Linked DNA regions of Pelodiscus sinensis. The protein of the gene in region 1 purifies or fractionates together with the protein of each later gene. This does not show direct contact. Links are inferred from orthologs where the notes say so. Each region holds a gene or a part of one and is shown in the gene's direction. Other genes may lie near its edges.

The links.
Region 2: the proteins of KAT8 (region 1) and PHF20L1 purify together in Homo sapiens (affinity purification with mass spectrometry; 3 studies listed by BioGRID and IntAct, with this or other methods). This does not show direct contact. The link is inferred for Pelodiscus sinensis from reciprocal best matches to the Homo sapiens genes KAT8 and PHF20L1.
Region 3: the proteins of KAT8 (region 1) and PHF20 purify together in Homo sapiens (affinity purification with mass spectrometry; 3 studies listed by BioGRID and IntAct, counting the BioPlex papers as one, with this or other methods). This does not show direct contact. The link is inferred for Pelodiscus sinensis from reciprocal best matches to the Homo sapiens genes KAT8 and PHF20.

The regions. Positions count from the first base shown.
Region 1 is NC_134714.1:131,608,136-131,615,884, forward strand, and holds the start of KAT8 (histone acetyltransferase KAT8), read left to right. Parts: upstream 1-4,701; 5' UTR 4,702-4,716; coding exon 4,717-5,113; intron 5,114-6,777; coding exon 6,778-6,852; intron 6,853-7,289; coding exon 7,290-7,465; intron 7,466-7,661; coding exon 7,662-7,715; intron 7,716-7,749. Other genes in the region: uncharacterized protein LOC142829375, read left to right, coding at 1-520.
Region 2 is NC_134712.1:13,904,845-13,912,598, reverse strand, and holds the start of PHF20L1 (PHD finger protein 20-like protein 1), read left to right. Parts: upstream 1-4,714; 5' UTR 4,715-4,743; coding exon 4,744-5,008; intron 5,009-6,069; coding exon 6,070-6,184; intron 6,185-7,754.
Region 3 is NC_134728.1:32,241,041-32,248,953, forward strand, and holds the start of PHF20 (PHD finger protein 20), read left to right. Parts: upstream 1-4,823; 5' UTR 4,824-4,979; intron 4,980-7,913. UniProt on the Homo sapiens protein: Methyllysine-binding protein, component of the MOF histone acetyltransferase protein complex.

The DNA.
Region 1 (7,749 bases):
CAGCCGCACCTCCAACCTGGTGAAACACCTGCGCACCCACACGGGCGAGAAGCCCTACGGCTGCCGGGAGTGCGGCAAGTGCTTCAGCCTCAGCTCCAACCTCATCAAGCACGAGCGCACCCACACCGGGGAGAAGCCCTTCGCCTGCGGCGAGTGCGGCAAGCGCTTCAAGAAGAAGACCCACCTGGTGTCCCACCACCGCACCCACACCGGGGAGCGGCCCTACGAGTGCACCGAGTGCGGCAAGCGCTTCAGCCAGAGCTCCACCCTCATCGAGCACCAGCGCATCCACACCGGCGAGAAGCCCTTCCGCTGCCCCGACTGCGGGCGTGGCTTTTACGTCAACTCCAAACTGGTCAAGCACCGGCGCATCCACACTGGGGAGAAGCCCTACGGCTGCAGCGTCTGTGGGAAGAGCTTCCGCTATAAGCAGCAATTCACCCGCCACCAGAAGCTGCACCAAGGAGAGGAACCGGTGGCCGTCCTGACACTGGGGGGGGTTAACGTCCTCCTGACTTAGGACGGGAATTCCTTGAACCTCCTGCATTGGAGCACTGGAATTCCTCGACTAGATTTCCTGCAGCTGTGGGAGTGGGATCTAGTGGTTAGGGTGGGGGTAGGGACTGGCAATCAGGACTCCATGGCTTTGGAAGGGGAGTGGAATTTAGTGGGTAGAGCAAAGGGGGACAGGACTCCTAGGTTTTCTTTCTGGATCTGGTAAGGAGGCAGAGTATCAGTCTGGAGTCCTAGGTTCTACCCTGAACTCTAGGAGGGGAGCGAGATAGAACAGGGTGGCTGGCAGTGGAGACTCCGGGGTTCGGTTCCTAGTGAGAGGTTGGGGAGGGGGGTCTAGTGGCTTAGTGAAAGGAGTCAGCGCTCTGGAGTTGTGTTCCCAGCAAGTTGCTCCCAGCCTGAGAGATACTACTTTAGTATGTTTGAACCTTTCCCAGAGCCAGACTGCTCTGGGGTGCCCCTCTTGTCTAGGGCAGCTGGTTATATACAACTGTTCAGTACTCTCCTGTTGGGATCAGAGCTCCCAAGCAGAGAGCCTACTGGTTAGTTATTGCCACACTAAATTTAAGTGAAGCCTACTCGAAATAACTTTCTGCAATTGAGAACCCTTCCGTTCTAGAGACTAACAGACTGTAGACTCTGAACAGTACCAAAGGCAGTGTTCTTGGAATTTTGACTGTGTTATATCGCCTTGTGTATGCTAGTTCTGTGTTTGTGTATTGGGAACAATACCAGCCCTGCTCTGCTCTGGTGCTATGGTGGAGATTTATAAGTAGTTGAAGGAAGGAGTGGGTAGAATTCAAATCTAAACTCCCCACCTCAGTATTAACCTCATCGCACCAAGTCATTGTAGCAGGTTCCATCCATTGCAGCAGAAGAGAGAGGGCTTATCTGCATTGGGAAACAGAAGCTACTGCAGTCATGGGTGGGTTCTCTCTTCTGGGAGAAGAGGGATTTGATTCCTGCATAAGTGCTCTGTTTCATAAGCTCACTAATTATCCCAGAGGAGAGTGGCCACATGGGGAACTTGTTCCACATCAATTTTGGTCAGTGTCCCCATCTAGACAAGCGCCCAAAAGAGAACTGGAGGCCGGTATTCTCCTCTAGGGGTGGGGAATGTGGTCTAGTGAGAGCAGGAAGGACTGAGAATCAGGTCTCCTGGGTTGTTTCTGTGTCTGCTGCTGACCATAAGCAGGCAAGTAATTTCTTCACTCTGTTTTCCCCCCTCTTAAATAGGGTGATAACACTACTGACCTGAGTATTTTCAGTTAATATTTAAAAGCATGGTATAAGTATTAATACTGTAAATAGACCTGCCACTAGAGGGCATTAAGTACACTACATGAATGAATTATGATATAATTTGGGGACTGTAGACAGAGATTCAAATTACTACCTCCTTGTAACTGAGGCTGTGGTGGATAAAGATGCGTATCCCTAGTGTTACATGCTGTCCAGTGTTGCTTGGCCAAGTGTTATGCTCAAATGGGCCATTGTTGAGTGGTCACGTAGTAAAGGATTGTATTGTATATTCTAGTAATACTGGGCGATAGCCTTAGATCACCCTAATTCTGTTTTGTGAATTTAGCAGGTTTTAGGGGGGTTTTTAATTTAAATGTAATCCAAACAGATATTCTGGTCATTAGCCAAACTACACCCATGGGCTATTGGCAATTCAAATCAAAGGGCTAAAGAAAATGCTTACAGTAATATCAGAGATTAACTTGAGCTGTCAGTACTAGTCATGCTCATATGCTGTTGGCTGGTCCATGGAGAGAAGGCAACAATGTTGTGCTCATACTTGAGTCATTATGATGGAATCACGTTGGATGTTGTCATGTTTGGAAGGGGAAGGAACCTAGGATGGCTCCTCCCTGTCTGTGGTTGTCTTGTGTTGACTGACTGTACGGGCGCGCGGGTGATGTTTCCTTTGACGTAAAACCCCAATAAATCACACCCGTTTCAACACCCCTGCCGTGCCCGGTCTGATTACCTGGTGAGTGCACGGGTGGGGAAAGAGGGGGGGGGGGGAGTAGGCAGGATGCCTGGCCCCTTTTCCCGGGGGGCTGGGAGCCAGATTCCTGGGTTCTGTGCAAGGGGTGGCGGTGACAGGAAAGGGCGCTGGGGAATGGGAACGGTGCATGCTGGGATGGGGGTGGACACTGGGGTACGGGGCGCGGTGCATGCTGGGATGGGGGTGGACACTGGGGTATTGGGAACGGTGCATGCTGGGATGGGGGTGGACACTGGGGTACTGGGAACGGTGCGTGCTGGGATGGCGGTGGACACTGGGGTACGGGGCACGGTGCGTGCTGGGATGGCGGGGGACACTGGGGTACGGGGCGCGGTGCATGCTGGGATTGGGGGGGACACTGGGGTACGGGGCGCGGTGCATGCTGGGATTGGGGGGGACACTAGGGTACAGGGCGCGGTGCATGCTGGGATGGGGGGACACTGGGGTACAGGGCGCGGTGCATGCTGGGATGGGGGGGACACTGGGGTACAGGGCGCGGTGCATGCTGGGATGGGGGGGACACTGGGGTACCGGGCGCGGTGCATGCTGGGATGGGGGGACACTGGGGGTACGGGGCGCGGTGCATGCTGGGATTGGGGGGGACACTGGGGGTACGGGGCGCGGTGCATGCTGGGATTGGGGGGGACACTGGGGGTACGGGGCGCGGTGCATGCTGGGATTGGGGGGGACACTGGGGGTACGGGGCGCGGTGCATGCTGGGATTGGGGGGGACACTGGGGGTACGGGGCGCGGTGCATGCTGGGATGGGGGGGACACTGGGGTACGGGGCGCGGTGCATGCTGGGATGGGGGGGGACACTGGGGTACGGGGCGCGGTGCATGCTGGGATGGGGGGGGGACACTGGGGTACCGGGCGCGGTGCATGCTGGGATGGGGGGGGGACACTGGGGTACCGGGCGCGGTGCATGCTGGGATTGGGGGGGACACTGGGGGACGGGGCGCGGTGCATGCTGGGATTGGGGGGGACACTGGGGGACGGGGCGCGGTGCATGCTGGGATTGGGGGGGGACACTGGGGTACCGGGCACGGTGCATGCTGGGATGGGGGGGACACTGGGGGTACGGGGCGCGGTGCATGCCGGGATTGGGGGGGACACTGGGGGTACGGGGCGCGGTGCATGCCGGGATTGGGGGTGGACACTGGGGTACGGGGCGCGGTGCATGCCGGGATGGGGGGGGACACTGGGGGTACGGGGCGCGGTGCATGCCGGGATGGGGGGGACACTGGGGTACGGGGCGCGGTGCATGCCGGGATGGGGGGGACACTGGGGTACGGGGCGCGGTGCATGCTGGGATGGGGGGGACACTGGGGGTACGGGGCGCGGTGCATGCTGGGATGGGGGGGACACTGGGGGTACGGGGCGCGGTGCATGCTGGGATGGGGGGGGACACTGGGGTACGGGGCGCGGTGCATGCTGGGATGGGGGGGGACACTGGGGTACGGGGCGCGGTGCATGCTGGGATGGGGGGGGACACTGGGGTACGGGGCGCGGTGCATGCTGGGATGGGGGGGGACACTGGGGTACGGGGCGCGGTGCATGCTGGGATGGGGGGGACACTGGGGTACGGGGCGCGGTGCATGCTGGGATGGGGGGGACACTGGGGGTACGGGGCGCGGTGCATGCTGGGATGGGGGGGGACACTGGGGGTACGGGGCGCGGTGCATGCTGGGATGGGGGGGACACTGGGGTACGGGGCGCGGTGCATGCTGGGATGGGGGGGGACACTGGGGTACGGGGCGCGGTGCATGCTGGGATGGGGGGGGGACACTGGGGTACGGGGCGCGGTGCATGCTGGGATGGGGGGGGACACTGGCGGTACGGGGCGCGGTGCATGCTGGGATGGGGGGGGGACACTGGGGTACGGGGCGCGGTGCATGCTGGGATGGGGGGGACACTGGGGTACGGGGCGCGGTGCATGCTGGGGTGGGGGGGGGACACTGGGGTACGGGGCGCGGTGCATGCTGGGGTGGGGGGGGACACTGGGGTACCGGGCGCGGTGCATGCTGGGGTGGGGGGGGGACACTGGGGTACGGGGCGCGGTGCATGATGGGATTGGGGGTGGACACTGGGGTACGGGGCGCGGTGCATGCTGGGATGGGGGGGACACTGGGGTACGGGGCGCGGTGCATGCTGGGGTGGGGGGGGGACACTGGGGTACCGGGCGCAGCATGAAGGGAACAGGGCGCGGTGCATGCCGGGAGGCTGGGGACGCAGGGCGCGGTGCATGCCGGGAGGCTGGGGACGCAGGGCGCGGTGCATGCCGGGAGGGTGCCGTCCTGCCGCCTCCCTTCGAGACCCTGGCCCCGCGGCTGCCGCGGGCACGTGACGCGGTGCGCGTGACGTCACCTCCGGGCGCCCGCCACGCGCGGGCGGGCGGCGGTTTGTTTTCGCGAGGCGCTTCCGGCCTGTCATGGCGGCCGAGCCGGGCGGCGGGAGCCCCCCCCGGGCCGGGCGGCGAGGAGGAGCGCGAGGCCCGGACCCTGAGCCCGGGGCCGCCGCGCGAGGCCGAGGTCACCGTGGAGATCGGGGAGACCTACCTGTGCCGGCGCGCGGACGGGACCTGGCGTGAGTCCCCCCCCCCCCCCCGCCGGACCCCCCCGGGACTCCCCCCCCCGCCGGGACCCCCTCCCCCCCGCCGGGAAACCCCCCGGGACACCCCCCCCCCCCGCCGGGACACCACCCCCCCCGGGACCCCTCCCTCCGCCCCACCCCCCCCCCCCCCCCGCCGGGACTCCCCCCCCGGAACCGCTCCCGGAACTCCCCCCCCCCCCGCCGGGACTCCCCCCGGGACTCCCTCCACCCCCCGTCCTAACCCCTCCCCCCCGGCTAACCCCTTTGGGCCCTGCTCCCCCGGGTTCCCCTCCGCCCTGAGCCCGGTCTCTGGCCTGTGCCTGGGGCCGCCAGGGCCCCCCCCCCCCCCCGCACTCTCCTCTGGGCCCGCCTGTTGCCCTCACTCCCATTGCGCCGCCCCCAGCCCCTGTGGGAGAGACCCGGCCCCAGAGAAGCCCTGTCGGGATTGGAAATGTGCAGGACTAGTCGACTCCCCCCCCCACCCCCCCTTTGCTGTATCAGAGCAACGCGGGGGGGGGGGAGAAGGGGCATTTCAAAGCAGCAGCGCTGCACAGCTGAGCCAGACATGCCGCCAGCATGGAGCCCCGGGGTCAGCAGGGGACTCTGAGTCCTCGTCCATCCCTCCATCCCGTACCCCCCCCCCTTCCCCAGCTAGTCCTGACCTCGGCTCCATGAGGGCACTGTGGCTTTGAAATACACAAGAGCCCCTGCTGGAGAGTCTTGTACATTTCAAAGCTGTCCCAGTGCAGCCCAAAGACTTCCTGCTGCCTGCAGAGTTCCACATTCCTCCTTCGAAATGTACAAGAGCCCCAGCAGGTGCCTACCGACGAGCTGATGGAAACTCCATCAACTAGTCAATTAACTGCAATTTAACATCTTTAGTCAGGATAAGCCCAGGGCTTCCAGCTCTCCCCCTTCATCCTCTAGCTCTGTGTTGCCGCACAGACGGGTCCTGGGGTGAGAGACCTGCCCCTCTTGTGAAAGTAGGTCCTGATCTCTCTGATCACCAGTGCCACTTAGCCCTCAGACTTTCCCAACCATGTGCCCACAGGACATGGCATAAAGGCTTCCCCCTCCCAATACGTCCCATTCCCACTCTTTTTCACTGCACCAGTGTAAACTGACATTATAGAACTGCCTGAAATAGGAGAAATTTAAATATGTCCTAAATCTCTGAGATTTCATGGGGAAGCTATTGGAAAATAAACCAGAGGGTAAATCTAAAGCATAGCTGTTATTCCACGTGAGTTCTATGGGTGGGTGCTCTAATTCTGCACTAAGAAGGCTTTTCCCCCTGAGACGGATGTGTCCTTAGTAAAGGATCAGAGGGGTAGCCATGTTAGTCTGAATCTGCATAAACAACGAGAAGTCCTGTAGCACCTTATAGACAAACAGATTTATTGGAGCATAAGCTTTGGAGGGCAAAGACCCACTTAGTCAGATGCATGAGACGAAGTGGGTCTTTGCCCACGAAAGCTTGTGCTCCAGTAAATCTGTTAGTCCATAAAGGACTTCTCATTGTTTACCTTAGTAAAGCATTTGTCTGTCATTCAGTGTAAAAGGGCTACCATTTTTCAGGGCAGACATTGCACCTAACCCACTCGTTCTTACTTCCTCTGCTCATCTAAGCTGGCACTAACCTGGTGATTGTCTTGCAGACTCAGCCGAGGTGATTCAGTCACGACTCAACGAGCAGGAGGCCCGGGAGGAATACTATGTGCACTATGTCGGATGTGAGTACGGCCCTGGGTTTTGTTCCTGTGGAGGGGGATTAATGTGGGTGACTATTTACTAAGTTCACTATGGAAGCACCTAAGAGTGTGATATTGTTAATTCCTTTCCTCCCCATAGTTCATATTCATAACTGCCTCATTTTCACCTTTACCATGAGTCTCTCACCCATACCCCCACAAATCTATGGGAAATTACCCTGCAGAATTCCTCATTACAGGATTTCCTAGGGGCAAAGAGGACTTTGCCCTTCTATAGCACTGGAGATCTAAGGATATGTCTGCTCTACCTGACTTTGGCAGGGGTGTGATTTCTAGAGGGCTAAAATCAGGACCATTTGGTTCCAGTGCCCAGGTGTTGAGTGTTTTGGGACATGGTGAGACTGTCACTCTACAGATAGAAGCTGGATAGGTTCCTTACTGCCCCATCTTAACCACAGTCAACCGGCGCCTGGATGAATGGGTAGATAAGAACCGGCTGGCCCTCACCAAGACAGTCAAAGATGCAGTGCAGAAGAACACAGACCAGTACATGAACGAGCTGTCAGAGCAACCCGAGCGTAAGATCACCCGCAACCAGAAGCGCAAACATGACGAGATCAACCATGTTCAGAAGGCAAGTGCACTGGGGGGAAGGGATGTTGCCTGGATCAGGGCTGGGGAGCTCAAAGGGGAGCAGTCTTCCCTCCTAGTCAGTGCTGACACCAGGGGGCGCTATGCTGTAGGGGTTGGGGTGGAAGGTTCAGTGTGGCCTCAGTTAAACTCTGTGATGCAGTGTGGCAGCTGCCTGATACTGGGTTGTCTCCTCATAGACCTACGCAGAGATGGATCCCACCACAGCTGCCCTGGAGAAGGAGCATGAGGCGGTGAGTGGCCCAGGGCATTGGCCTGGCATCTAAA
Region 2 (7,754 bases), on another chromosome or scaffold:
CCAGCAAGTTTGGAGCACCAGCTTCCTGTAGGAGGAGGGGACCCCGGGGCTATGTCTACAGTCGCAGTTCCTTGCAGTCAAAATATGCAAATGAGGCTAAGCGTGGAATATCACCGAGCCTCATTTGCATACCTAATGAGCCACCATTTTTGCAGAAGAGGTTCTTGCACCAGAAGGAGCTGTCTACACTGCCCCTTGCACAAGAAAACCTCTCTTGTGCAATGCCATTACACTGATTATTTTCAGGAAAAACGGCATTGCGCAAGAGGGGTTTTCTTGCGCAAGAAGGGGCAGTGTAGACAGCTCCATCTGGCGTAAGAGCCTTTTCTGCAAAATGGCATCTCATTAGGTATGCAAATGAGGCTCGGCAATATTCCACTTAGCCTCATTTGCATATTTCTGCCACAAGAAGCCGTGAGCGTAGACATAGCCTGAGTCTCCCTACTGGACCCAGCTCCATAAAATCACTAACCCTGGAACACCAGGGGCTATGTCTACACTGGTGGCTTCTTGCGCAAGGGTTCTTGTGCAAGAATTCTTGCACAAGAAAACGTCCACACTGCCATGCGTGAGCTGTGTGGACGGTCTCTTTCGCAAGAAAACTCTGATGGCCATTTTAGCCATAGGGGTTTCTTGCGCAAGAAATCCCTGCTGAGCGTCCACACTGCCCTCTCGCACAAGAGCTCCTGCGCAAGAGGGCTTAACCCTTTTTTTTTTAAAAAAAAGAGCATAGCTCTTGCGTAGGAAGCCCTCTTACCACGCCGTACTGTAAATTTCCTTGCGCAAAAGCCGGCAGGCAGTGTGGACACTCTGAAGATTCCTGCGCAAGAATGGCTATACTTGCGCAAGAAGCCGCGAGTGTAGACATAGCCCAGAAGAGTAAATTTGGCCTGAGGTATTGGACCTCAGTCCTCCCTGAGCTCTCTCCACCACAGGTCTGGAATACCAGAGAAGTGAGGTTTCTCCGATGGAAACCACATCTGTGAGGATTGGGGATCTTTTATTTCTCATTTGTGTGCCCCCCGAACTGATTTTTCTATGGGTGGGTGGCCCCCTAGCATAAGAAAAGGTTCCTCCCACACACCATAAATAAAGATAATATTGAAACCTTTTCTGTTGGACATAATATTTAACTTTATTTAAAAAGACATTTGATAAACTAACATGAGAAAGTTAAAGTGCTTAATCTGTTTAATAATTTAAAGTAGTACTTCCTTTCCTACCAGTTAAATTAAACCATTCTCCCTAGCTGCAGCACTAGCAAAACAGGCATAATTATGTAATTAATGGTGAGTTTCTATTAGCAACTGGTGGTCCTCAGAAAGGTTTGCATTGAGCCAGATGGGCCACAGGCCAAAAAGTTTGAGAACCACTGCCTTAGCCCATGCTTTGTGAAAATCTTAATGAAAGTGTCGCATGAAAAACATTATGCTTTCTCCTGCTGCTATTTCCAAGGAGATGACAGCAGCACTCAGAAGCTCTTACATCTTTTCTTCATATGGCTTCAGCATCCAGAAAACTCCATGGATTACTAACTGTCATCCACCACTATAAACCCGCTATAAAAATTTACCATGAGCCAGGAAACAAATTCAACCCTTTATTGTCTACCAATATTAAACCATAAACTTATCCCCATCCCCTACCAATATTAAACCATAAACTTATCCCCATCCCTTTCTCTTCTCATTGCATCATAACCCCACAGACATTGCAGTCTTACACCACAACCCTCCTCATTCCAGCCCTTACCTCTTCCTACCGCCTCACCAACTAACTCTCACCCCTCTAATTATAGTGATAGAAATGTAGCCGTGTTAGTCTGGGGTAGTTGAAGCAAAATGCAGGACAATGTAGCACTTTAAAGACTAACAAGATGGTTTATTAGATGATGAGCTTTCGTGGGCCAGACCCACTTCCTCAGATCAAATAGTGGAAGAAAGTAGTCACAACCATATATACCAAAGGATACAATTAAAAAAAATGAACAAATATGAAAAGGACAAATCACATTGCAGAACAGGAGGAGGATGCGGGGGGGGGGGGGGGAGAGGAAGGAAGGTGTCTGTGAATTGATGATATTAGAGGTGGGGAGAGTGGGATGTTTGTGAGTTAATGGTATTAGAGGTGATAATTGGGGAAACTGTCTTGGTAATGGGTGAGATAGTTCAAATGTTTGTTAAGTCCTTGTTGGCAAGTGTCGAATTTTAACATGAATGACAGTTCAGAGGATTCCCTTTCAAGTGCAGATGTAAAAGGTCTTTGTAGCAGAATGCAGGTGGTCAAGTCAGAGAGATTGTCCTTTCTGGTTAAAATGGCAAGAAACTGTTTTCTCTTTGTGATCTTGTCTGATATCTGTTTTGTGGGCATTAATCCTTTGGCGAAGTGTCTGAGATGTTTGTCCAATGTACATAGCAGACGGACACTTTCGGCACATGATAGCATAGATTATATTTCTGGATGCGCAGGAATATGTGTTCTTGATCTTATAACTCACTTGGTTAGGTCCAATAATGGTATCAGCAGAATGAATATGTGGACAAAGCTGGCAACGGGGTTTGTTGCAAGGGAAGATACCAGGGTTGGTATTAGTGTGGTATGTCCTGTGGTGGTTGGTAAGAATCATCTTGAGGTTAGGTGGTTGTCTATAGGAGACTATGGGTCTGTCTCCCAGAGCCTCTTTGAGTATGGTATCCTGTTCCAATATAGGCTGTAGTTTATTGATAATGTGTTGGACAGGTTTAAGTTGGGGGTTGTAGGTGATGACAAGTGGTGTTCTATTGTTGGTTTTCTTGGGTCTGTCTTGAAGTAGATGGTTTCTAGGTATTCGTCTGGCTCTTTCAATTTGCTTTTTTATTTCTCTGGGTGGGTAGTTGAGATTTATAAATGCTTGGTAGAGATCCTGCAGCTTCTGGTCTCTGTCAGTGGGATTAGAGCAGATGCGGTTGTATCGAAGGGCTTGGCTATAGACGATGGATCGCGTGGTGTGTTCTGGATGGGAGCTGGATGCATGTAGGTAACTGTATGAGTCCCACCCCATAACACAAGCCCTCATCCCCTAACATACCTCAATCTTTTTCCACCTCCAAAATAATGACCCTCATCCCCTTACCACTTATACCCCACACACTTCTCACCATAACACTTACCTCATCCCCCATTAATTTATACTCCAAACCACCCCCTCCCCACAGCACTGACCCAGAACCCCCACTGCCGCACGACACCCCTGCCCTCCCCATTCCCAGCACCCCCAACTTCCGCACGACACCCCCGCCCTCCCCGTTCCCAGCACCCCCCACAGCCGCACGACACCCCCGCCCTCCCCATTCCCAGCACCCCCCGCAGCCGCACGACACCGCTGCCCTCCCCGTTCCCAGCACCCCCCCCAGCCGCACGACACCGCTGCCCTCCCCGTTCCCAGCACCCCCCCCAGCCGCACGACACCCCTGCCCTCCCCGTTCCCAGCACCCCCCACAGCCGCACGACACCCCTGCCCTCCCCGTTCCCAGCACCCCCCACAGCCGCACGACACCCCTGCCCTCCCCGTTCCCAGAACCCCCCACAGCCGCACGACACCGCTGCCCTCCCCGTTCCCAGCACCCCCCACAGCCGCACGACACCGCTGCCCTCCCCGTTCCCAGCACCCCCCACAGCCGCACGACACCGCTGCCCTCCCCGTTCCCAGCACCCCCCACAGCCGCACGACACCGCTGCCCTCCCCGTTCCCAGCACCCCCCGCAGCCGCACGACACCCCTGCCCTCCCCGTTCCCAGCACCCCCCACAGCCGCACGACACCCCTGCCCTCCCCGTTCCCAGCACCCCCCGCAGCCGCACTACACCCCTGCCCTCCCCGTTCCCAGCACCCCCCACAGCCGCACGACACCCCTGCCCTCCCCGTTCCCAGCACCCCCCCCAGCCGCACGACACCCCTGCCCTCCCCGTTCCCAGCACCCCCCCCAGCCGCACGACACCGCTGCCCTCCCCGTTCCCAGCACCCCCCACAGCCGCACGACACCGCTGCCCTCCCCGTTCCCAGCACCCCCCACAGCCGCACGACACCCCTGCCCTCCCCATTCCCAGCACCCCCCACAGCCGCACGACACCCCTGCCCTCCCCATTCCCAGCACCCCCCACAGCCGCACGACACCGCTGCCCTCCCCGTTCCCAGCACCCCCCACAGCCGCACGACACCCCTGCCCTCCCCGTTCCCAGCACCCCCCACAGCCGCACGACACCCCTGCCCTCCCCGTTCCCAGCACCCCCCACAGCCGCACGACACCCCTGCCCTCCCCGTTCCCAGCACCCCCCACAGCCGCACGACACCCCTGCCCTCCCCGTTCCCAGCACCCCCCACAGCCGCACGACACCGCTGCCCTCCCCGTTCCCAGCACCCCCCCTGCCGCACGACACCCCTGCCCTCCCCGTTCCCAGCACCCCCCACAGCCGCACGACACCCCTGCCCTCCCCATTCCCAGCACCCCCACAGCCGCACGACACCCCCGCCCTCCCCATTCCCAGCACCCCCCACAGCCGCATGACACCCCTGCCCTCCCCGTTCCCAGCACCCCCCACAGCCGCATTACACCCCTGCCCCGCCCACCCCTCTTATTCCCATAACTCCCTCCCAAACACCAAACCCGCCCCCTCCCTTCCCAGGATTCCACTTCCGGTGCTCCGCCCCCCCGCCGCAAAGCGGATGTCACGCGGCGCGGCAGCTCCCCGGTCACGTGAGGGGTCCGATGGAGGCGCCCGGCTCCGACTCGGCTGGTCGCAGGGAGGTGACGCATCGGCTGGGCGCTGGGGCGCGAGGGGCGGGGCGCGGCGCTGGGAGAGGGCGACGATGGGGCTGTGAGGGAGGCGCACCCCGCAGCGAGCTGCTCACCCCCCGGGCCCGGTCGGAGCGGGAGGCGCCGCGGCCTGCGGAGCCGGCTGGGCTTGCGGCTCGGGCGCCGGGCCGGGATCGGGCGCCAGGCCCAGCGGCTGCCGTGGGAGGCGGAGAAGGCGGTAAGCAGAGCGGGGTGCAGGGGGCTCGAGCCGGCCCCGGGCCTCTCTTCCCCCCCCCCCCCCCGGGGCCCCGGGTGCGCCCCGCCCCCCTGCCCCTGCGCGGAGGCTTCCTCCACCGGGCCTGCGATTTCAAACCTCCCCTTGCCCCCCAAGTGGCTGATGCCTGGGGGCTCCTCCCCGCCTCCGCCAGGGACTCCGGGCTCCCCTTCTCCTCCCCAGAGACATGGAGCGGTCCAGGGCTTGGGCCTCCCCTGTGTCCCCCCCGCCAGCCCAGACAGTCCTAGGGGCCCAGGGCTGGGCGATCTTCCTCACCCTCCCACCACCCAGACACAACAGAGCAGGGCTGGTGGCTTCCCTCGCATTCCTCCCTCAGTCCACATAAAGAGAGTGGCCCCCCTCTTGAGACTCTCCCTCCCACCTCGCACACGGACCAGAACAGGGCTTGGATGTTACTCACAAAACAGACCAGCCTAAGCCCTTGGGAGGAAGATCTTACCTTGTCAAATTAAAATAACTTGTGCTTTTGGATGAAATGTTCTTAGCTACCCTGGAAGCACATACAATGCAATATTTTTTTATAGAGATTGTAGGGAAATCAATATTTTTTATGTATTGCCTTTTTATTGTGGTTGCTTAGTACGCTTCTGTAGTGGTCATTCTTTCCTCTGTATAGACTGTCCCTTTCCCCTCTTGATTGTATGACTTTTCATGCAGTAACTGGGCAGGGGGAACTTAGGGAAGTGTGATTATGAAATTACTAGAACTGATCATGAATTATGGCCAAATATATTATTAGAGCAAATTTTCATTTCTTTTTTAAAGTAAACGATTGCAGATTGATGGTGTACTTGTTTGTGGGTGTGTGTGGGGGAGGGGGGAAATAAGCACAACGATCTAAACATTTCCAATTTTAGTGCATTATTAGATCTTCCAGTGATAAGTGCTATTATTTATTATAGATCTCTCTTCGTGTGGGTAAAATATATACTTTTGGAATGCTAATTGTACTTTTAAACAACAGTGCTTTCTGCTTTGTAATATAAAAACATTTTTCTCCAAAGATAGGGGGATAAAGGAAATAGAAGTTACCAGGATGAGTAAAAAGCCTCCAAGTCGTCCAGGGATCACGTTCGAGATTGGTGCTCGTTTGGAAGCACTGGACTACTTACAAAAATGGTAAGGAAGACATACGATGCTTAATTAGGCAAAAATACCATGAGCCATCTGAAGCTTCATTTTTTGGGGGTTTGTATTAAAAAATAACATATCTTAATTCAGTCCATATACTAATTTGGTGAATAGTCTTATTTTTAAAACATCAACTGAAGTGATTATAGAATGTTAGGAAATCATCTCGCCAAACATTAAATTGAAAGTCATGAAAGAAACTAATATTTTAATCTGGCATTTCCAGATGTTAGATTATTCTCTTTGGCACTGGTATGTGTTTATTATAACAGTCTGTCTGCTAAAATATTTGTTAACTATGATATTAAATGAAAAACTTATTCAGAATACTCTGGCATACAGAGTCACATGCTAGATGGTTAAGTGTATTCTTGTGTAACTGAAGTAATAACTCAAGGATCCAGTTTTGTTTTAAGGTGTAAGGAGATTTCACAAATTTGAGAACTTGATATAGTATTCATTAATAAAAGTTTCCACGCATTACAATTAATTCTTATTGTAAGGTAAGTACGTTTAACAGTGCGCGTGGGAGCGGGGAAATGGAAGCACCAATCTTGTGACTTGGCCAGGTCACACACCAATTGTGTTAGAGCTAGGATTTGAAGTAAGATAGATTGGAAGGGCAAGTCAGCAACACTAATATGGACACTGTTTAACACTTATTTAAAATGCTGTATCGATTACTTTAGTGCTATTATGATGATGCTCTAAGCTAGTGGGAGAGATTTTCTCCTGTTGGCTTAATCACTGCTTCTTGCAGAGGTGAATTATTATATCCGCTGGAGAAGTTCTCATTGACAGTGGTAGCTACACCAGTGCTTAGGTTGGTATAATGATGTTGCTCAGGGATGTGGATTATTCACACTCCCTGAGCAATGCAGTCATACCAAAGTAATTCTGTAGTGTAGATTAGGGTTTAGTCTTCCAGTAACTGTTTACTTGGAGTAAAATCAGACAATCCAATTTTAGTAATGCAACCTGGTTTGGAAGTACGGTCTCAGTAATCAGTTTGAAGGAAATGTTGCTATAATGGATCAGACCTATAGTCTGTCTTGTCTTGTCTTCTGTCTCCAACATTGGTTATTGCTCACAGCTTCAGAAGATGTTTATTCTTCACATCTATCAGTTAATAAGTGGGGGATGCTATCAGTCATGTAGATCAGTATCCCTTTCACATTTTCATTCTTTCTGATAGAAAGTGTCTAATCTTGTTGCTCTCAATAATAATGGATCCTGGGGTGGAGAGCCTGGGGCCGGATGCTGCCCCTGGCTTGCCTGGATCTGGCCTCCGAGGCTTGGGACTCCTCCCCCCAATCCCCAGCATTGGGGAGCCCAAGCTAGCACTCCAGCCTCCCCCCTCCTGCTGCCTCCCATGGAGCTGGAGCATTCAAAATCTACTAGCCTGGGCCTTCCTAGGCCCTGGTGTGCAAGGGGAATATGGGGAGTGTCATTCTCCTTCTTAGTCAAGGGCCGTGTCAATGAGGATTTTTTTGCTTCTTTCGTGTGTGCTGCCCCCGACTGATTTTTCTGTGCATTAGTGGCCCCTGACCCTGAAAGG
Region 3 (7,913 bases), on another chromosome or scaffold:
GAGCTACCACAACCAAACTTTCCATGGGCTAACCTTTCTTCCAGGAGAAGGTTTTAAGGTATTGTGGGAGGGAAGAGATGAGAGACCGACACCTCTCCCCGGGGGCTGCATGGAGCTTGGCAGTGCAGGGAGAAGCGGCTACCCCGCCATTGCTGGAAGCATATGGAGGCCCCTCTTCAATACTGCCATTGGCTCAGGGCCCGGTGGCCAACCATGGCTGCTGCTGAGGCTTGCTCTAGGTGGAGGGGGCAGGGCTTGTGTTACCGCTCAGCTGCCACTTTGAAAAAATGTCCGGAAGGAGGCACATCGGGGACCCAGAGGTGAGAGCGAAGCCTGTGGGGGGGGGGGGATCTCCCTTGAGGGGCACTGGCCCAAGGGGCAGCACTGGATGATGCTGGGTGGGTAAGAAATTAATCCAAGGCGAGGGGGGGGGAAATCCCTCAAATTGGCACTGGTCTGGATTTGATACTGGAAGATCCTGTGGGGGGTGAGAGATGCAGCCCATGGGAGGGGCAGCTGGTCCAGGGAGTGGTGCTAGAGGAGAGACTATACCGGTTAACTCATAGTTTCATAAAAAAAAAATGGTAGAAGAGTTTGAGGTGTCTCCTTGAAATCTCTCAGATTCAGTAGGGCCAGCCCCATTGATTGACACATCCCTATACTCAGCTATTGGATGAGAATTTGCAGACCCAGAATGCCTATCCCCTACTTCCCTACCAAAAAATTAGAAAAAAGTGGTCTCTGAACAGATGTCAGGGTGATTAAAGTCCCTCACGAGAACCAGGGCCTGTGATCTGGAAGCTTCTCCCAGTCGTCTGAAGAAAGCCTCAGCTACCTCATCCACCTGATCCGGTGGCCTGTAGCAGACACCAACCACAACATCACTGCTGTTGTTTGCACCTCTAAACTTAACGCATAGACTCTCAACAGGTTTTCCTTCCTCCATATACTGGAGTTCTGAGCAATCATAGAGCTCTCTTACATACAGTGTAACTCCTCCTCCTTTTCTCCCCTGCCTGTTCTTCCTGAACAGTCTATACCCTTCCATGACAGAATAATGATAGAAATGTAGCCGTGTTAGTCTGGTGTAGCTGAAACAAAATACAGGACTATGTAGCACTTTAAAGTGCTACATAGTCCTGTATTTTCTTCCATGACAGCGCTCCAGTCATGCGAGTCATCCCACCAACTCTCTGTTATCCCAATGAAATCATATTTCTTGGACTGGGCCAGGGCCACCAGTCCTTCCTGTTTGTTTCACAGGCTTCTCGCATTCGTGTACAAACACCTCAGATAACCAGTTGATCACCCTATCTTCTCCATTAGAATCAGGGGTCCTCCTTTCTTGCTTGTTCCTCTTTGCATATCTTCCCGGTATCCGACTTTCCCACTCCCCTCAGGGTTTTGGTCACCGTCCCCCAACAAACCTAGTTTAAAGCCCTCCTCACTAGGTTTGCAAGCCTGCCCGTGAAGATGCTCCTTTCTCTTTTCGTTAAGAGATGGATCCCATCTCTTCCTAACAATCCTTGTGCCCAGAACAGAGTCCCATGGTTAAAGAAACCAAAGCCCTCTCTGAGACACCACCTGTGCAAACAGACATTTACTTCCTCAATTTGATGATCCCTGCCCAGTCTTTTTCCTTCAACAGGGAGGATGGATGAGAACACCACTTGCGCTCCGAATTCTTTGATCCGTCTTCCTAGTGCTACATAATCTGCAGTAACCTGCTCAAGTTCATTCTTGGCTGTATCATTAGTTCCCACGTGGAGGAGGAGGAAGGAGTAGCGATCTGAAGGTTTGATCAGTTTTGTAAGCCTCTCAGTCACATCCTGAATTCAAGCTCCTGGTAAGCAGCACACCTCTTGAGAGCCAGATGGATGGCTCAGTCCCTCTTAGGAGGGAGTCCCCGATCACCACCACCTGTTGTCTTGTTTTGGGGTTGATGGTTGTGGAACCCCCATCCCTAGGACTACACATCCCATGCCTTCCAGTAGATGGTGTTCCCTTCCGGTTTCTTGTTTGTGAGGTCCCTTCCAAAGCATTCAGCACTGCAGAGCCTGTGGAGAGAGCTTAAAAGCGATTACTTACCTCTATAGCACTGGGGGATTCCTGTGCTGGCCTTTTTCTCCTTCTAGAAGTTACATGCTACCAGTTCTCTTCCTGGTCTTGTGCTGCCCTCTCTGGCTCCTCCGCCTGCCTTGCTTTCAGGATTAAACTCTGCCTTCTATAAAGGAAGTCTTCATCCTCTCTGATCAAGTGTAGGGGCTACACTTGGGCCTCCAGTCCTCTAATTTTTTCTTCCAAAATGGCGACCAGCTTGCACTTATTGCAGATGAAATCCCTTCTTTCTTCCAGGAGGAAGACAAACATTGCACACGCTGTGCAGGTAACAACAGCAGACCCATCACCATCCATACCTGCTGTCCTGGAAAAAGGATTTAAAAGAATGGCAAGAGAACCTTGCCCCCTTCCCAACTCCCTCTCTAAACTCCCTGTTAGCACTCACCTGTTCACAAGCTCCTTGCTCACTGCTTTATAAAGCCCTGGAGTGCCTGAAAGTCCCTCCCCCTACCAAGGCTCAGCCAATCAGCAGAGGTTTCTACAATTCAAACTTTAATTAGAAGCCAACAGTTTCCACCTGCCAGTCACAGCACACACTCCGGGAGGGGGAGGGGAAAGGGGAAGGGAGAAAAAAAAAGCCTCGCTCACAAACACAAGCTCAGCACACAGCAAGAAAGCCCCAAACACAACACACACTGCAGACAACCACTCCCCTCAAGAGTCCTGTATCTGCTTCTCCTTTACCTGGAGAACTCCCTCTCTAAATTCGCTGTTAGCACTCACCTGTTTGCAAGCTATTTGGTCGGTTGCTCACTGCTTTATAAAGCCCTGGACTGCCTGAAAGTCTCTCCCCCTACCATACTGGCCAGATGTCAGGCACTGGCAGCTGCAGTGTGGTTGGAGGCTGTCAGGACCAATTTCTGTTTTTCTAAATTTTGTTCCTCCAGTTTCCCGGGAAATGCCAAGTAAGTCCAGCCAGTAGAATATACACATTCAGCAGATTGCAAGCTTTTCAGTGACGGTGCCACAGTTTGCATAGAGCTTATCTGAGTTCTTGTTCATATTCAAAAGAATAGTTCCATAAAAAATATGGGGGTGCAACTTCACACTTTGGATATGTGGCAAATGGCAGACTTGGCAACTCCTCACTTGGGCTAGTCTCCTCCAGGGGCAGGGCTTGGTGCAGTGTGGGTTCAGCTCCAGGGCTCTGCAAACCCCTAGGCTGTGTCTACATTGGCAAGATTTTGTGCACAAGTGGCCACTTTTGCGCAAAAACTTGCCACCTGTCTACATTGGCTACAAGTTCTTGCGCAACAACGCTGACATTCTAATGTAAGAAATCAGTGCTTCTTGCCCAAGAACTATGATGCTCCCACTCAGGAATAAGCCCTCTTGCACAAGTGTTCTTGCGCAAGAGGCCAGTGTAGACAGGCAACATGAATTTCTTGTGCAAGAAAGCCCGCTGGCTAAAATGGCTTTTCTCTTGCGCAAAAACACATGCCAGTGTAGACGCGCTCTTGCGCAAATACTTTAACGCAAAAACTCTTGCGTTAAAAGTATTTGCGCAAAATCTTGCCAATGTAGACGTAGCCCTATTCTCTCCCCTTCTTTTCTAGGCCTGGAAGCCATCTACTCCCTTCTTTGGCTCAGACTCAACTGCATCAAGGGTTCTGTCTTTTAGGCTGTCTTTCTCATCCCTTGGGTTCTGGTGGGAGAGGCAAGCCTGGCTTAGCTCTGACCACTAGGAATCACCAAGTTGGCTCTTCATCCTCCAGCTCAATGGAAGGTCACTCAGCTTCACTACAGCATGGTATTGTGTTGGAGATTTGAGTTCTTGTGATGGGCCCCCTCAGGCTATGTCTACACTAGCAGCTTCTTGCACAAGAACTGTTTTGCGGAAGAGTTCTTGCTCAAAAAGTCTTCCACAAGAGCGCGTCTACACTGGCATGTGCTTTTGCGCAAGAGCATCCATGGCAGTGTGGATGCTCTCTTGCACAAGAAAGCTCTGATGGCCATTTTAACCATAGGGGCTTCTTGCGCGAGAAATTCATGTTGCCTGTCTACACTGCCCTCTTGTGGAAGAGCTCTTGTACAGGAGGGCTTATCCCTCCTGGGGAGAAGAATAACTCTTCCAGAAGATGCCCTGTTTTACAATGCTATACTGTAAATATACTTGTGCAAGAACATGCGTGCAGTGTAGATACCGGGCAAGTTTTTGCCAAGAACAGCTGTTTTTGCGCACCTTCTTTCAGTCTCTCCTCACTTTCTCTTTTCCTCCATTTGCAGTGCTCTAACACCTCCATGATGAAACACTAACAGGAAAAACAGGAGGAGGATGGGGGGAAGAATTCTGTTGGGTCGATGGGTTGGGAACTTCGGGGCTGTAGCTCATAGACGCCCTGCGGGGTGGGGTGCTGCAATGCTGATGTCTTGGGCCCAGCTGCTTCAGGATCAAGGGGCTCTTCGGCCAATCCCTGGGGGGGGGGGGGGTGGCAAGCCAGGGTCAGGCTTGCAGCAGGGGATGGTACCAGCTCGGCCAGCTGCCTCGCTAGCCACCTGCATCCCAGAGAAGGGCGGGGCCCTGCCTCACACGTGCCGGAAGGGGAGGGGAAAGGAGACCCGCGAAAGTTCCGCCTCGTCCCGCCCCTTCCGGCGCACAGTTGAGGCCCCGCCCCTTCACCTGCCCCCTCCGAGGCCCCGCCCTGGGGGGGGGGACCCCTGTTTCTACCCCGCCCCACTCCCCTCCGCTTGGCCCCGCCCCTCCCCCGAGAGCCCGCGCCAGCCCCCTCCCTCGCGGCGGCGCCTCAGCCGCGGCGGCCATTTTGTGTCGCTGCTCGGTCGGTGGCGCGGGGCTCGCGCGGGGAGTGGGGCCGGGCGGTGACTGGCTCCTTTCTCGCCCTTTCGCGGCCGATCCCTCGGTAAGACACCGGCAGCGGCCGGGCGCCCGGCCCCGCCCCGCAGCGGCCCGTCCCGAGGAGGCCGGGCCCCGCGCGGAACGGGTCCGCCCAGCCGCACAAAGGGGGGAGGGGCGGGGATGGGCTGAGGAGGCCCCGGGCGCGGGCTGGACGCGCTCGCGGGGCTCCGCTGTGGCCCGGGGCGGGGCCCGGCGCGGGGAGGTGAGTATCGGCGGGGCCGGGCGGCGCGAGGGGCTCTCCCGGGCGCTGCCGCCTCAGCCCGCGTGGCCGCCGCCGGTGCGCGCGCCGGGCGGGAACCGAGGGCAGCGCGGGGCGGCGGGAGCCGCTGCAGCGTCTGGCCTGGCCGGCCCGGGGCGCCCGCTCGCTGCGGGCGGGATGGAGCCGCGCGCGGCCCGGGAGCAGCGGGCGGGCAGTGCGGCCTGGCTCCGAGCGGTTGTGTAACCGGGCTGAGCAGCGGGCGCGGGGCCGTGCGTGTCTGAGCCCCGCGGCCTCTGCAGGGGACGCTGGGCTCCGTTCCGCCTGGGCGAGACACCGCGGCGGGGGGAGGCCCTGGGGGAGCAGGAAGCGCCTCTGGGGGGGGTCTCATGTCTCCGCGAGAAAACGGCAGCGAGCGTAGGGAACGTTGTTTGTCCCGGGAAGGGAATCTGGCCGGGGAAAACTCTGGCCTGACACTTGGTTCTGTTTCTACCTTGGTGAATGGCTGCTGCTTTCGTTAGCTTTGGTAAAAACCATATGGGTTTCAGAATGAGTCGCGCACACAAGCACTTAGTTACACTCAAAGGGGAGACGTTGACGTTTTTGTTAGGCAGTAAAGCAGAAACAGAAAGTAACACTGCACGTGTCAGAATAATGGGCAAAGTGGGTCTGCACTGAGTTTCTCACTTCTAGTGAACTTGGATTCAAATCATTCCTATTGTTTCATCAGGCAAGTTGGTTTACAGACTCACTGGGAAATCTGGCAGAATTTAATCTCTTGTAGAAAGACTAGAAACTAGGGATGTCAAATACCCGTTAATTGAATAGTCGATTAACTCATGAATTCTTATCAGTTACTTGACTATTCTGTAGTCCTTGGGGGTAGGGCCAGCAGCCAATGTGACTTACTCCCAAGAAGCCCTCGGCCACTATGCGCTGCTGCCTCTTTATCCGAGGCAGCAGCGTGGGGTGCCAGGTGGGAGCTGGTTCATGAGGGGAGGCAGTTTAAAAACCAGTTTCCCTGGTGGACCTGCTGCCTGTTACCCTGCACTGCTGCCTCTGATCTACAGGTAGCAGCACAGAGTGGCAGCAATCCCTGTGAGAGGGTGGGGGACAGGGTCTGAGCTCCTGGACCCAGTGTGAGTCAGAACTGAGCTGGGCTGCCTGTCTGGCTCCTAATGCACTTCAAATGCAGAGCTGTAGCAGGGGTAGGTCCCAGACCTGGTGCAAGCAAGGACTGAGCCTGGCTGCTGGCTAGCCTGCTTAAAAATTTACTGGTGGGGATGGAGGAGGGGGAAATCCATGTAGTATATGGCATTAACCTATAATCTTTTGTTTATTGGTTAATTGACTACACAATTACATCCCTACTAGAAACACAGGTAGTTTAGGTTAGAATGTAATTGTATTGGTAATACTATATGGCTGCGTTTAGACTGGAATCATTTTGTGCAAAAATCTTGCCGCCTGTCTACACTGGCTGCGACTATTTGCGCAAGAACACTGAATTTGTAATGTACAAAAGCAGTGGTTCTTGCACAAATACTCCAATGCTCTTGCTCAGGAATAAGCCCTCTTGCGCAAGAGGGCCAGTGTAGACAGCCACGTTAATTTATTGCGCAAGAAAGCCCAATGGCTAAAATGGCCATCAGAGCTTTCTTGCGCAAGAGAGCGTCTACACTGGCACGGATGCTTTTGTGCAAAAGCAAATGTTTTGCACAAAGGCACGTGCCTGTATAGATGCTCTCTTGCGCAAATACTTTTAACAGAAAAACTTTTCCGTTAAAAGTATTTGCGTAAAATCATGCCAGTCTAGACACAGCCAATGTGAAAGCGATGCATCTGCTTATTTTTTTCTTCGTTTCACTCTGGGCAGTTAACTGACTTTTGAGAACCACATAGAAAAGTATGTCTATGCTCCCAAATTAATGTGTAGCATTAAATGTTATGTGGCTCTGGAAAAATAATTTGAATTGGCGTATAGAAATTACAAGTCTTATCCAAACTAAAGGGATATCTGAGAGGGATGTTAAAAAAAATCTTTATTTTTTTTAAGGTGTTGATTGCTCGCTAAATACAATAGCTAAATGGTAGAAAGTGAAGTTGACATTCCCTGCACTCCATTCTCTGAAATTCTATTGTTCTTCATGCCTTGTTTCCTGAAGGGCCATTTGCAGCATGCTGCCCATTGGGGTTCTGTGTCCTGCTAGACATTTTGTTTATCGTTCTCTACACACAGGGTTGCCAGATTCTGTTGGTTTTCGTTCATGTAGATTTTTTCCTACCAATTATTAGTAAAGTGATATTCACATAAAGCAAGGGCATTTGACGTAGGGATGTTAGATACCGTGTATTTTAGTAATTGTATAGCTGCAACAGTTTTTAGTAGTTACATGGTTATTAAAATAGTCCCGGGGGGGGGGGGGGGGCTGGCATCCAGTGCGGTCCGAGCTCTCTGCTACCTTGCGCTGCTACTTCTGATGAAGAGGCAGTAGTGTGGGATGGCAGCAGCCCTTGTCTGTGGAACAACCAAGCTCCCCACAGACTGGGGCTGCTCTGGAGGCAGCGGGGAGGTGGGGAACAGGGGCCTCCGCGGGAACCGGCTAGTGCAAGAAGCAAGCTTAAAGCTGGTTTTCCCCCTGGTTGCCGGCTCTCATACAGGCAGATACAATGGTAAGGGGGGAGAAAGGGAGGAGAGTTGAGTGTAGTTGTTTGGATTAACCGATAAGCCTAGGTTTATCC